3 linked regions of the Saccharomyces cerevisiae S288C genome follow. The protein of the gene in region 1 binds, or shares a complex with, the protein of each later gene. Each region holds a gene or a part of one and is shown in the gene's direction. Other genes may lie near its edges.

Region 1 (3,891 bases):
TGAAACAATCCTTACCAAGACAGCGCCAAAAGCTATCCTCTTTAAAGAATTAAACTTGATTTGTTCCAGGAACTGGCTCATTAAAATCAATGCTGGAGTTATTACTAAATGGTACTGGTCCGAGGTGGAGAAAAGAATACCAATAATGGAAAAAAATACCAGATCACCATTTGATAGAGCATCAAAATGGTTCTTTTTATAGCGTGCTTGCATTTCATTGATATAATCTCTACACTCCTCGGAAAGCTCTCTATTATATTTCTCTGAAAGGGATTTTAGAATTGAGATCAATGCATTTTGTGTACGTTTAAAACTTTGAACGTTTTTAAGGTAGTTTTGATTGCTTAGAAAAATGATGTGTCTCAGTAAAACAGCGGTGAATTTTCCTAACTTTTCCTTATTACCTTCAGCCAATTTTGGTTGGTAAGCTTTGATAATATTCTTAACAATCTTAGGATGATCATCTAAGTCTAATTTTTTTACTTGATCTAATAACGCATCATGAGTTCTAGGGCATGAAATGGAAATGTTCTTTTTCTTTAAAATTTGAGAAAACCCTTCATCTCTGCCTTGATCTTCAAATTTGATATCATCATCAGAATCAGCAATACCGTCATTATCGTCTTCATAGTCTTCTTCATTTTCCCAGAATCCATCATCCAAATCCTCTACTCCTCTTTCTTCGCCTTCTTCTAATTCAATCATACCGTTCATACGATCAAGACGCTGTTGTTCCAACTCCCGTTTTTTTTCTTCAGCTTCAGCGTTTTTCTCCTCTTCAGTTTTAGTTCTATCAGAGGGTGCAGCTCTTTTGTCCAATTGTAGTTCTTTCACTTTGATATCATACTCCTTATCTAGATCGGTCTTAGGTTCCATTGGATTCTTCTTGGGTTGCGTCATCATCAATTCAGACATAACATCCTCGAAATTATCATCCAGATTATCTATTTGATCTTCCATTATACCTTGAGCCTTTTGTCTTTCTTGTTTGTAAAATTTTGATTTGGCAATGACCTCTTTCATGACTTCAGCTTTGGTTTTTTTTCTTTGAGGTTGCTGTAGCTCAGCATCATCTTCATTGAATCGTTTGGAAGCTAAAAAATCCTCTTCATCATTGGCAAGCTCATCTTCTAGGGACAGCGATTGACCTAAATGTGTAAGACCGTCTCCAAACATGTCACCGTCGTCTTCATCGTCTTCAAGATTGAATAAATTTGCGTTTCTCTTTGATTGGCTTTGTCTTTCTCTGGTGAAACGTTCCAACATTTTTTCTTCTTCCGTCAACAACTTGTCTCTTTCACCAAATCTCTTATCGATCACACCACCACGTTTATTCTTCATCATTTTTCTTGCTTCAAATGCACGCTTTCTTTGTTCTTCACCGATCTGTTTAGAGATACCAGGCTTACCCACAGCAATACGATCAGCAGTTTTAGAAGGCAGACCATCTCTCCTCTTATTCCTTGCAGCCTTTATTTCAAACGGATTAAACTCTTCTCTGATTTCAGCAATGGCCTTTTTTTTTTCTTCACGATCATACTCCTTCGCTTGTCTTTTGGAATTCTTTTTATTCTTACTTTTGACGTTTGTTTGACCTGTGAGTCCACGGGCCTTCAAGGCGGCCTTTAAATTCTTAAGTTGTGAACCGGCCATGTATTTGATCTTCCCTTTTATTTGCTTCTCAACTGTACTATTTACAGTAATAATTAGTGCAACCTTCAGATGCTTCTCGCTAAATGCTCATCTCTAAATTATCATTATTATTCCTAATAAATCCTAAAATTTTTCACTCGTTCTGTACGGCTCATCGCCCCAATATTACCCGTCTTGTATGTGATCTTTTTGACTTTTCGGTGGCAAAATGCAAAGGGGAATCCAAGGAAAAACCATAACAGGACACTACATCAGAGATAATCTTGAATTAAGAGAGTAGAGGAATATACTGCTGGGCTCACTACCATTTTTGTTGCTAGAGTAAACGTAGAGAAAGATGTCAAGAGATGCACCAATTAAGGCTGACAAGGATTATAGCCAAATTTTGAAGGAAGAGTTTCCTAAGATCGATTCGCTCGCTCAAAATGATTGTAACTCTGCTTTAGACCAACTGTTAGTGTTGGAGAAGAAAACCAGACAAGCTTCAGATCTGGCCTCCTCGAAAGAAGTTTTGGCCAAGATTGTAGATCTGCTAGCATCAAGGAATAAGTGGGACGACCTAAATGAGCAATTGACTCTACTCTCAAAAAAGCATGGTCAGTTGAAATTGTCAATTCAGTATATGATACAAAAGGTTATGGAATATTTGAAAAGCTCGAAATCTTTGGATTTAAACACCAGAATTAGTGTCATTGAAACTATCAGGGTGGTTACAGAGAACAAAATATTTGTAGAAGTGGAAAGAGCTAGGGTCACCAAAGATTTGGTGGAAATTAAGAAAGAAGAGGGTAAGATTGATGAAGCTGCAGACATCTTGTGTGAGTTACAGGTTGAGACCTATGGCTCCATGGAAATGTCTGAGAAAATTCAGTTTATATTAGAGCAAATGGAATTGAGTATATTAAAAGGTGATTATTCCCAAGCCACGGTGCTTTCAAGAAAAATTCTGAAAAAAACTTTTAAAAATCCAAAATACGAGTCATTGAAGCTAGAATATTATAATCTTCTGGTAAAAATTAGTTTGCACAAGAGAGAATACCTAGAAGTTGCGCAGTATCTGCAAGAAATTTATCAAACAGACGCCATTAAATCAGATGAGGCTAAGTGGAAACCTGTTTTATCGCACATTGTATATTTCTTAGTCCTTTCACCTTACGGCAATTTACAAAATGATTTAATTCACAAAATCCAGAATGATAACAACCTGAAAAAATTAGAAAGCCAAGAATCTTTAGTAAAATTGTTTACTACGAATGAGTTGATGAGATGGCCAATTGTTCAAAAAACCTATGAGCCCGTCTTAAATGAGGATGATTTGGCATTTGGTGGAGAAGCTAATAAGCATCACTGGGAAGATTTACAAAAAAGGGTCATCGAGCACAATTTAAGAGTCATTTCCGAATACTATTCCAGAATTACTTTACTAAGATTGAATGAATTGCTGGACCTAACGGAGAGCCAGACGGAAACATACATCAGTGATTTGGTAAACCAGGGCATCATATACGCTAAAGTTAATCGCCCAGCCAAAATCGTGAATTTTGAAAAACCAAAAAACTCAAGCCAATTATTGAACGAATGGTCACATAATGTTGACGAACTATTAGAACATATAGAAACAATAGGCCATTTAATTACAAAAGAGGAAATCATGCACGGTTTGCAAGCTAAATGAAGAGATTTTCGAGTAAGTGTCGGATTATCTCAGATCCGGTTTTGATTTTAAATCTGTTACTAATCGAAATGTGTATTTACGTACGTGAGATAAAATTATCTATGCATATATATAACTCAAATGGAAAATGGCCACGTATTGCTCTCATTCTCTTCACTTGCTTACACAAAACATAAGGTGACAATTAATGGAATTTTAGTTTTTCAATTTTTCAGGGGAAAGAAGACACCCAAAAAAAAAGTGAAAAGTCAAAACGGTAAACTGTTTATGGTATTTAAATGACATTAATAGCAGCGTAAAGAGTCATTTTTTCGTTTGATTAGCAAAACTCTGAACATTAATTACTACACCTATAGACATATCTTTAAACAGTGAAATATTTTTTTCATTTAGTAAACAAGAATTAAACTTTGAATATTTTTTTTTCGATTAACTTATGTCACTTTAGCCTATACTTTCTTCGAACATTTTTCCTTTCATTTTGACTCATGATATTAGATCCATTATCTCCAAATATTGAAAATCATACTCAAGATGAAATAATTGAGTTTTGGGAAAAAACT
Region 2 (3,234 bases), on another chromosome or scaffold:
GGGTTCTGTCCTTTGCAGCTGATTTGCAACTCGGCCAGCAATTCAAGAACATTTCGTAGTAAGCTGCTTTCAATTATATGCATATATACTCTGTATACAATTTTCAATTTTGAATTAAGTTCCACGGCTGAACGAGAAAAAGATACCTGAACACGCTACCTAACAAAATCCATTCCTTGTTTCTCTTCCCACTCCTTCAGCGCATTTTCCCACTCATCTTCTTCATTCACATCAACAGCTTTATTTTGCAATTCTTGTTCTTTTAACAACGCCGTACGTTTTTCTTCTTCTTCTTTATCATACTTCTCTTTATTGTCTATCCACCTGTCTTGAATGTCGTAATTCGCTATTAATGCACCTTCTCGCGAAGCCTCAGCCCACACGGTATCACCACCAACTTCGGATGCGCCGAATATGTAGCCATTTGCTTTATCTATAACACCTTGAAGATTTATCATACTTTCTTTGTCATCCACGGACAAAACCTCAAATGATACTAAGTTGAAATCTGAGACTAGCTCTTTGATTGTTTCAGTTAACTTGCTATATTTCTTTCCCAGTACACTAGAGCCTTCCTTTTCAATATATGGCTCCAAATAATCCAGATCCTGGACCTCTGTATAATAGTCTAATCTAAAGGGTAATTCTCCGTATGATTTCAGCATATCTATTTTAGAAAAAACGTTGATGTGAGGGAGATCCATCATTAACATAGACCTCAATGCAAGTAACAAAATCGAGATATATTGTGAAGGGGATGTCATGTAAAAACAGTCAATCAAATTTACAACACAAAACCTAATGTCCAATTCCTTTTCCATTTTTTTAAAGATGTTGAACAAAGATGAGTGATGAGTAAATAGCTCCACTTGGCCCGGACAGTCGAATACAAGATATGCTTTTTCTTCTTCTACAAGTGACTTGATCTGTAAAATGAACAAATCAATAGAATTATCCAATGATTCAACAGCATACATCAAACCTCCATTAGGGCCTAACTGTTGCTCTTGCATGATCTCCTCTAATGTTATAAAATCACGAATATCCACAGCGCATGGGTAAGGTAAGGCATCATTAGCAGGATCCATATTCACTACCTGGGAATGTCTTCCGATGGCATTGAAGAACTGTGAGCAGCCGTTGCAATAGGTTGACTTCCCTGAACCTGGTGGACCAATAACAATCTGAGCGAAGGGCATTATTGTACTCTCTAGTAGAAAATCAAAACTATTGACACAACAACAATCAAATGAAAACAAACCATTCTATTACGGTAAGTAGTGAAGACTCACAATGCAATCTTTCAATGAGCATCACTTACTTTAAGTAGCAATATTCCTAATCACTTATTACGAAATTTGATTTTACTAAAGTTCGGGGATACCTCAGTGGCAAATCGTTACTCAAGTTGCACGTAACGTAGAATCTACAATGAAATAATTGTGAAGCCAACAGCTAAGCAATCTATAGTGTAACGTTGGCTTTCTGTACAACTGCTACTGATTGAGGGCATTTTTCGAATTTAAAAAAAGAAAGAAAGAAAGGAAAATCAAATTACAATGTCTCTACAACACGAGAAAGTTACCATTGCACCACTAGTTTTGCTATCTGCTTTGGATCATTATGAGCGTACGCAGACAAAAGAAAACAAAAGATGCGTTGGTGTCATCTTAGGTGATGCTAACAGTTCCACTATCAGAGTCACTAATTCCTTTGCCTTACCGTTTGAAGAAGATGAGAAAAACTCTGACGTGTGGTTTTTAGACCATAATTATATTGAAAACATGAATGAAATGTGTAAAAAGATTAATGCCAAGGAAAAACTCATTGGATGGTATCATAGTGGTCCTAAATTAAGGGCTTCTGACCTCAAGATTAATGAGCTGTTTAAAAAATATACTCAGAATAATCCGCTATTATTAATTGTTGATGTCAAACAACAAGGTGTTGGTTTACCAACAGATGCATATGTCGCGATTGAGCAAGTTAAGGATGATGGTACGTCTACAGAAAAGACGTTTCTTCATTTGCCTTGTACTATTGAGGCCGAAGAAGCTGAAGAAATTGGTGTAGAACACTTATTGAGAGACGTACGTGATCAAGCAGCAGGTGGCTTATCTATCCGGTTGACCAACCAATTAAAATCTTTGAAAGGATTACAAAGCAAACTAAAAGACGTTGTCGAGTACTTAGACAAAGTCATTAATAAGGAATTACCGATAAACCACACTATATTGGGCAAGCTACAAGATGTTTTCAACCTTTTACCAAATCTGGGAACACCTGATGATGACGAAATAGATGTGGAGAATCATGACAGAATTAATATTTCAAATAACTTACAAAAGGCTTTAACTGTGAAAACTAATGATGAATTAATGGTTATATATATAAGCAATTTGGTTAGGTCAATTATCGCGTTTGATGATTTGATTGAAAACAAAATTCAAAATAAAAAAATTCAAGAACAAAGAGTAAAGGACAAACAATCAAAAGTCTCTGATGACAGTGAGAGTGAGAGTGGTGACAAAGAAGCAACTGCGCCATTGATCCAACGAAAGAACAAGAAAAATTAATTCAAAAATTAACATAACATAATATATGAAATAGATGTGTAAAACGCTATGTATTAATACAACATGTTAATTTGCTTAAGCATAATTATGTTCTGTTGAATTTCAAATATAAATGCATAATATCGCCTCTATTCTCGTCCACTTACTTACTTGGTCTCTATTAAAGAGACTGAAGGAATATACATAAGTTTATATTAACGCTCAAATAATCCGTCATCTTCGTACTCGTACTCGTCGGTATATTCACTATCATCAGAATCTTCATCGCTTCTATCATCACTGTCAGTTTCTTCGGCGATTTCACTTTCTCCAGCAATAACACTATCATCATATATTAACTCGTCCTCCTCATCTTCATCCAAATAAACGTTGGCCAGTGTTTCACCTTTAAAGTTATTTTTAGGCTCCACAACATAATGGCCTTCGATATAACAATTGCTGAGTTTACACTTTGAACCGATTTTTGCCATAGGTCCAATAATACAATTTTCCAGGATTACTTCGTCACCAAGATGGACTCCAGGAAATAAGAGAGACCCTGCAACACGACATCTGGAACCAATATTGGCCTGAGTACCGAGAACAGACATCTTGACATTACTATGAGCAGAGATTTGGCATTTGGGATCTACTATGGCATCAGCACCGATAGCGGCAG
Region 3 (3,475 bases), 1.1 Mb from region 1:
AAGATTATCAGAAGGTACTCTGAATTTCATTCTTTGAGGCAATCTCTAACTAGACTCCTTCCTACGATAATTATTCCACCCATTCCATCCAAGCATTCTCTTCTCAAATACATATGGAGTCCCATAAACGCAGCAAATGATTCCAAAATTATCTCCACCAGGAAGAAAATGCTCAATTCATTCTTGTCTAACTGTCTGAACATTCAAGAAATAAGCAACGATATTGTTTTTCAAAAATTTCTAAACCCTGAATTTAATTGGAAAGATGTTTTAAGTTCGTCGCCGATAATCATACTACCTTTGAATAACCTTTTAGCTCCACCTTTAAGCCCAACAAAACCAAGCCCCCTTCATTCTATTTTACCTATTCCATCCAACTCGTCTCTGAGAAACTATAATTCGATTTGGCAACAACACATCACAGTAAAAAGTCATAATGAAATTTCCAACCTCCCAACAGAAATTTTACAAAACGAATCTCAATTTACACATATTGAAAATTTATTCCAAAATTATAAGCGAATAATCACCCATTTATTAAAAAACATAAGATCAAATAAATCTCATTTCCACTCCTTGTCCACGTATTTTGCTGAATTAGGCGCATATTATAATGCTTTTAGTTTGGAAAATGACATAACCATGCCCAACAGCCTTCGCGAATCTGAAAACAATTCAAACAACCCAATGATGGAAATTATTAGTCATATTGAAAAGACAGGCCATTCATTCGATGTTATATACATTTCTTCCGAGATCTTAATAGAAAAGTACACCTCTATTCTTGAGGACCCCATTAATGAGTTATTGCAGTTCTTAAATGAGTCATTCAAAGTTCTAAATTTCAAGAAATTAAAGTTTTTGCAATTTAAAATATTAGAGAGGCTAATTATCGAAAAAGAAACGAAACTTTCGAGTCTCACTGAGATTGAAAACCAACTGCAGAAGATTAATGAAAGTTTAACGCGGTCGACTATATTGACAGATGAAAATTACAAAGATACAAAGGCTGCTGACCTGACATTTGTTAAAAAGGACGTAAGATCGCTATCGAAGTCAAGTTCAAATTCAAGCTCCAGTGGACACCAAAACGAAATTCATATAGGCGCAAGTAAACTAAACTATAAAACGTCTACGCCAACAATGAATCTCAATAAATTAGAAATCAAACAATTGACTGAACAAGAAAGATCTAAACAGATCAAACAGTTGAACCAAGATTTATCCAAATTGAAAGATTGTCTATCAATCTGTATATCAGACATGCTAGAAATTAACAATTCGTCATACAACAGCTTAATGCATACATATAACCATATTAATTTGACCATTGGAAAGATCTTGAAACTTTTCGCAGCTAGCTTCAAAGCATGGATCAAAGAATGTCTGAAGAATTGGAAACTGGCAAAGTTACAAATCGACGAGGCCCTATAAAAAGCATTACCGTCACGCATCGTGTTGCAAATAGCATATACATATATATATATATATATATACATATAACGTATACGTTAGAAAAATTTGAATACACACATTCATTTATCCTATTATTATCATTTTCATTCTTACCCGCTCCCCGCTTTCATCCGGTGGCAAAAGTAAGAACAAATAAAAGCTAGACCTAGATTGAAGAAACTATTAAGTACCAAAAAGCAAACAGTGGGCACACGCGAGGAAACCACATTATATTTCGCAAGATGTTTAATAATCATGAAATTGACACCATATTAAGCACTCTCCGCATGGAGGCAGATCCCTCTTTGCATCCTTTATTCGAACAATTTGAGAAATTTTATGAAGAGAAATTGTGGTTCCAATTGTCCGAATCCTTGACTAAATTTTTTGATGATGCTAAATCTACACCATTGAGGCTCAGATTATATGATAACTTCGTTTCTAAATTTTATGATAAAATCAACCAATTGTCAGTAGTAAAGTATCTACTTGCCTCTTTGAAGGATTCTAAGGATTTCGATGAGTCTTTAAAATATTTGGATGATTTGAAGGCTCAATTTCAAGAATTGGACTCTAAAAAACAAAGAAATAATGGATCAAAAGACCATGGTGATGGTATTTTGTTGATAGATAGCGAAATTGCTAGAACTTACCTGTTAAAGAACGACCTCGTTAAGGCAAGAGATTTATTAGATGATTTGGAAAAGACATTGGATAAAAAGGATTCCATTCCATTAAGGATAACAAACAGCTTCTATTCTACAAATTCCCAGTATTTTAAATTTAAAAATGATTTCAATTCTTTCTACTACACAAGTCTATTATACCTTTCTACCTTAGAACCATCTACAAGCATTACTTTAGCCGAACGTCAACAATTGGCCTATGATTTGAGTATCTCAGCATTGTTAGGTGACAAAATCTATAATTTTGGCGAACTATTACACCATCCAATAATGGAAACTATAGTCAACGATTCCAATTACGATTGGCTTTTCCAATTATTAAATGCTCTAACCGTTGGTGATTTTGATAAATTCGACTCATTGATAAAAGTTCAAATATCAAAGATTCCTATATTGGCTCAACATGAATCATTTTTACGACAAAAAATTTGCCTAATGACATTAATTGAAACAGTTTTTGTCAAAAATATTAGGATGCTTTCATTTGAAGATATTTCAAAGGCTACACACCTACCAAAGGATAATGTCGAACACCTGGTCATGAGAGCCATAAGTTTGGGTCTATTAAAGGGTTCTATTGACCAAGTAAATGAACTCGTTACCATCTCCTGGGTCCAACCAAGAATCATAAGTGGTGACCAAATTACAAAGATGAAGGACAGACTGGTTGAATGGAACGATCAAGTAGAAAAACTGGGCAAAAAAATGGAAGCTCGTGGCCAATCCATCTGGGTTTAGGCCATTGGCAGTTATATATAAAACACACACGCACACATATATATAAATGCAGAAATAAAATCAACTATCAACAAATATTGTCAAAAATATACTTCGCAACTTTACCATTCTTATAAACATCATTATGCAAACCCAAATCGTCCAAATACAACTTGAAACTTAACTGATAATCCTGAAGACAAGAAATTAAACAATTAGTTTGTCTTAACGTTAATAACTCGTCGCTATAAGAATGCACTAGGTGCATATCAATACTGAAGCGAGAAAGGGCTTTCTTCACGTAAGGCATTACTCTCGAGGGCTCTTCCTCGTACATTTGAATACCATCAGGGAAGGCAAGTCTTGTAAAACAATCATACTCTGGGTATTCTACCAACAGTTCCTTTAACGAGTATATACCATCCAATAGAAATACTCTCTTCACGATCTGCAAAAGTCCCAACATTTGCAATTGCGCTTCACTCATTTTTTCTTGAGGATCTTTGAGTGCAGCTAATATCTGCCAAATAAAGGTAGCTCCAACGGAATGTCCCACCATATTAATGTTCGTTAATCCCTTTTCTTTAACAAGCCTTGTTATATTTGACACAGCATCA

What was found.
Region 2: the proteins of RPN5 (region 1) and RPN8 are in contact, whole or in part, in a cryo-EM structure (PDB 3J47), measured with the Saccharomyces cerevisiae proteins. Residues at the interface, in NP_010134.1 of Saccharomyces cerevisiae: Ser409 (codon at 3,215), Gln410 (codon at 3,218), Leu411 (codon at 3,221), Leu412 (codon at 3,224), Asn413 (codon at 3,227), Glu414 (codon at 3,230), Trp415 (codon at 3,233), Asn418 (codon at 3,242), Glu421 (codon at 3,251), Leu422 (codon at 3,254), His425 (codon at 3,263), Ile426 (codon at 3,266), Glu427 (codon at 3,269), Thr428 (codon at 3,272), Ile429 (codon at 3,275), Gly430 (codon at 3,278), His431 (codon at 3,281), Leu432 (codon at 3,284), Ile433 (codon at 3,287), Glu436 (codon at 3,296), His440 (codon at 3,308); in NP_014904.3 of Saccharomyces cerevisiae: Gly199 (codon at 2,154), Lys203 (codon at 2,166), Asp206 (codon at 2,175), Glu209 (codon at 2,184), Tyr210 (codon at 2,187), Lys213 (codon at 2,196), Thr224 (codon at 2,229), Ile225 (codon at 2,232), Leu226 (codon at 2,235), Lys228 (codon at 2,241), Leu229 (codon at 2,244), Asp231 (codon at 2,250), Val232 (codon at 2,253), Phe233 (codon at 2,256), Leu235 (codon at 2,262), Leu265 (codon at 2,352), Val267 (codon at 2,358), Lys268 (codon at 2,361), Thr269 (codon at 2,364), Glu272 (codon at 2,373).
Region 3: the proteins of RPN5 (region 1) and RPN9 are in contact, whole or in part, in a cryo-EM structure (PDB 5MPE), measured with the Saccharomyces cerevisiae proteins. Residues at the interface, in NP_010134.1 of Saccharomyces cerevisiae: Asn306 (codon at 2,906), Glu307 (codon at 2,909), Leu308 (codon at 2,912), Arg310 (codon at 2,918), Ile353 (codon at 3,047), Tyr356 (codon at 3,056), Tyr357 (codon at 3,059), Ser358 (codon at 3,062), Arg359 (codon at 3,065), Ile360 (codon at 3,068), Thr361 (codon at 3,071), Arg364 (codon at 3,080), Ile399 (codon at 3,185); in NP_010715.3 of Saccharomyces cerevisiae: Asp322 (codon at 2,661), Glu325 (codon at 2,670), His326 (codon at 2,673), Met329 (codon at 2,682), Arg330 (codon at 2,685), Ile332 (codon at 2,691), Ser333 (codon at 2,694), Gly339 (codon at 2,712), Ser340 (codon at 2,715), Ile341 (codon at 2,718), Asp342 (codon at 2,721), Gln343 (codon at 2,724), Val344 (codon at 2,727).

Annotation. Positions count from the first base shown.
Region 1 is NC_001136.10:188,934-192,824, forward strand, and holds RPN5 (proteasome regulatory particle lid subunit RPN5), read left to right. Parts: upstream 1-1,990; coding exon 1,991-3,328; downstream 3,329-3,891. Other genes in the region: snoRNA-binding rRNA-processing protein NOP14, read right to left, coding at 1-1,653; LDB17 (Ldb17p), read left to right, coding at 3,817-3,891. UniProt on the Saccharomyces cerevisiae protein: Acts as a regulatory subunit of the 26S proteasome which is involved in the ATP-dependent degradation of ubiquitinated proteins.
Region 2 is NC_001147.6:815,257-818,490, reverse strand, and holds RPN8 (proteasome regulatory particle lid subunit RPN8), read left to right. Parts: upstream 1-1,559; coding exon 1,560-2,576; downstream 2,577-3,234. Other genes in the region: GTPase GPN2, read right to left, coding at 156-1,199; GCD1 (translation initiation factor eIF2B subunit gamma), read right to left, coding at 2,771-3,234. UniProt on the Saccharomyces cerevisiae protein: Acts as a regulatory subunit of the 26S proteasome which is involved in the ATP-dependent degradation of ubiquitinated proteins.
Region 3 is NC_001136.10:1,320,508-1,323,982, forward strand, and holds RPN9 (proteasome regulatory particle lid subunit RPN9), read left to right. Parts: upstream 1-1,697; coding exon 1,698-2,879; downstream 2,880-3,475. Other genes in the region: SNX41 (Snx41p), read left to right, coding at 1-1,434; BNA7 (arylformamidase), read right to left, coding at 2,947-3,475. UniProt on the Saccharomyces cerevisiae protein: Acts as a regulatory subunit of the 26S proteasome which is involved in the ATP-dependent degradation of ubiquitinated proteins.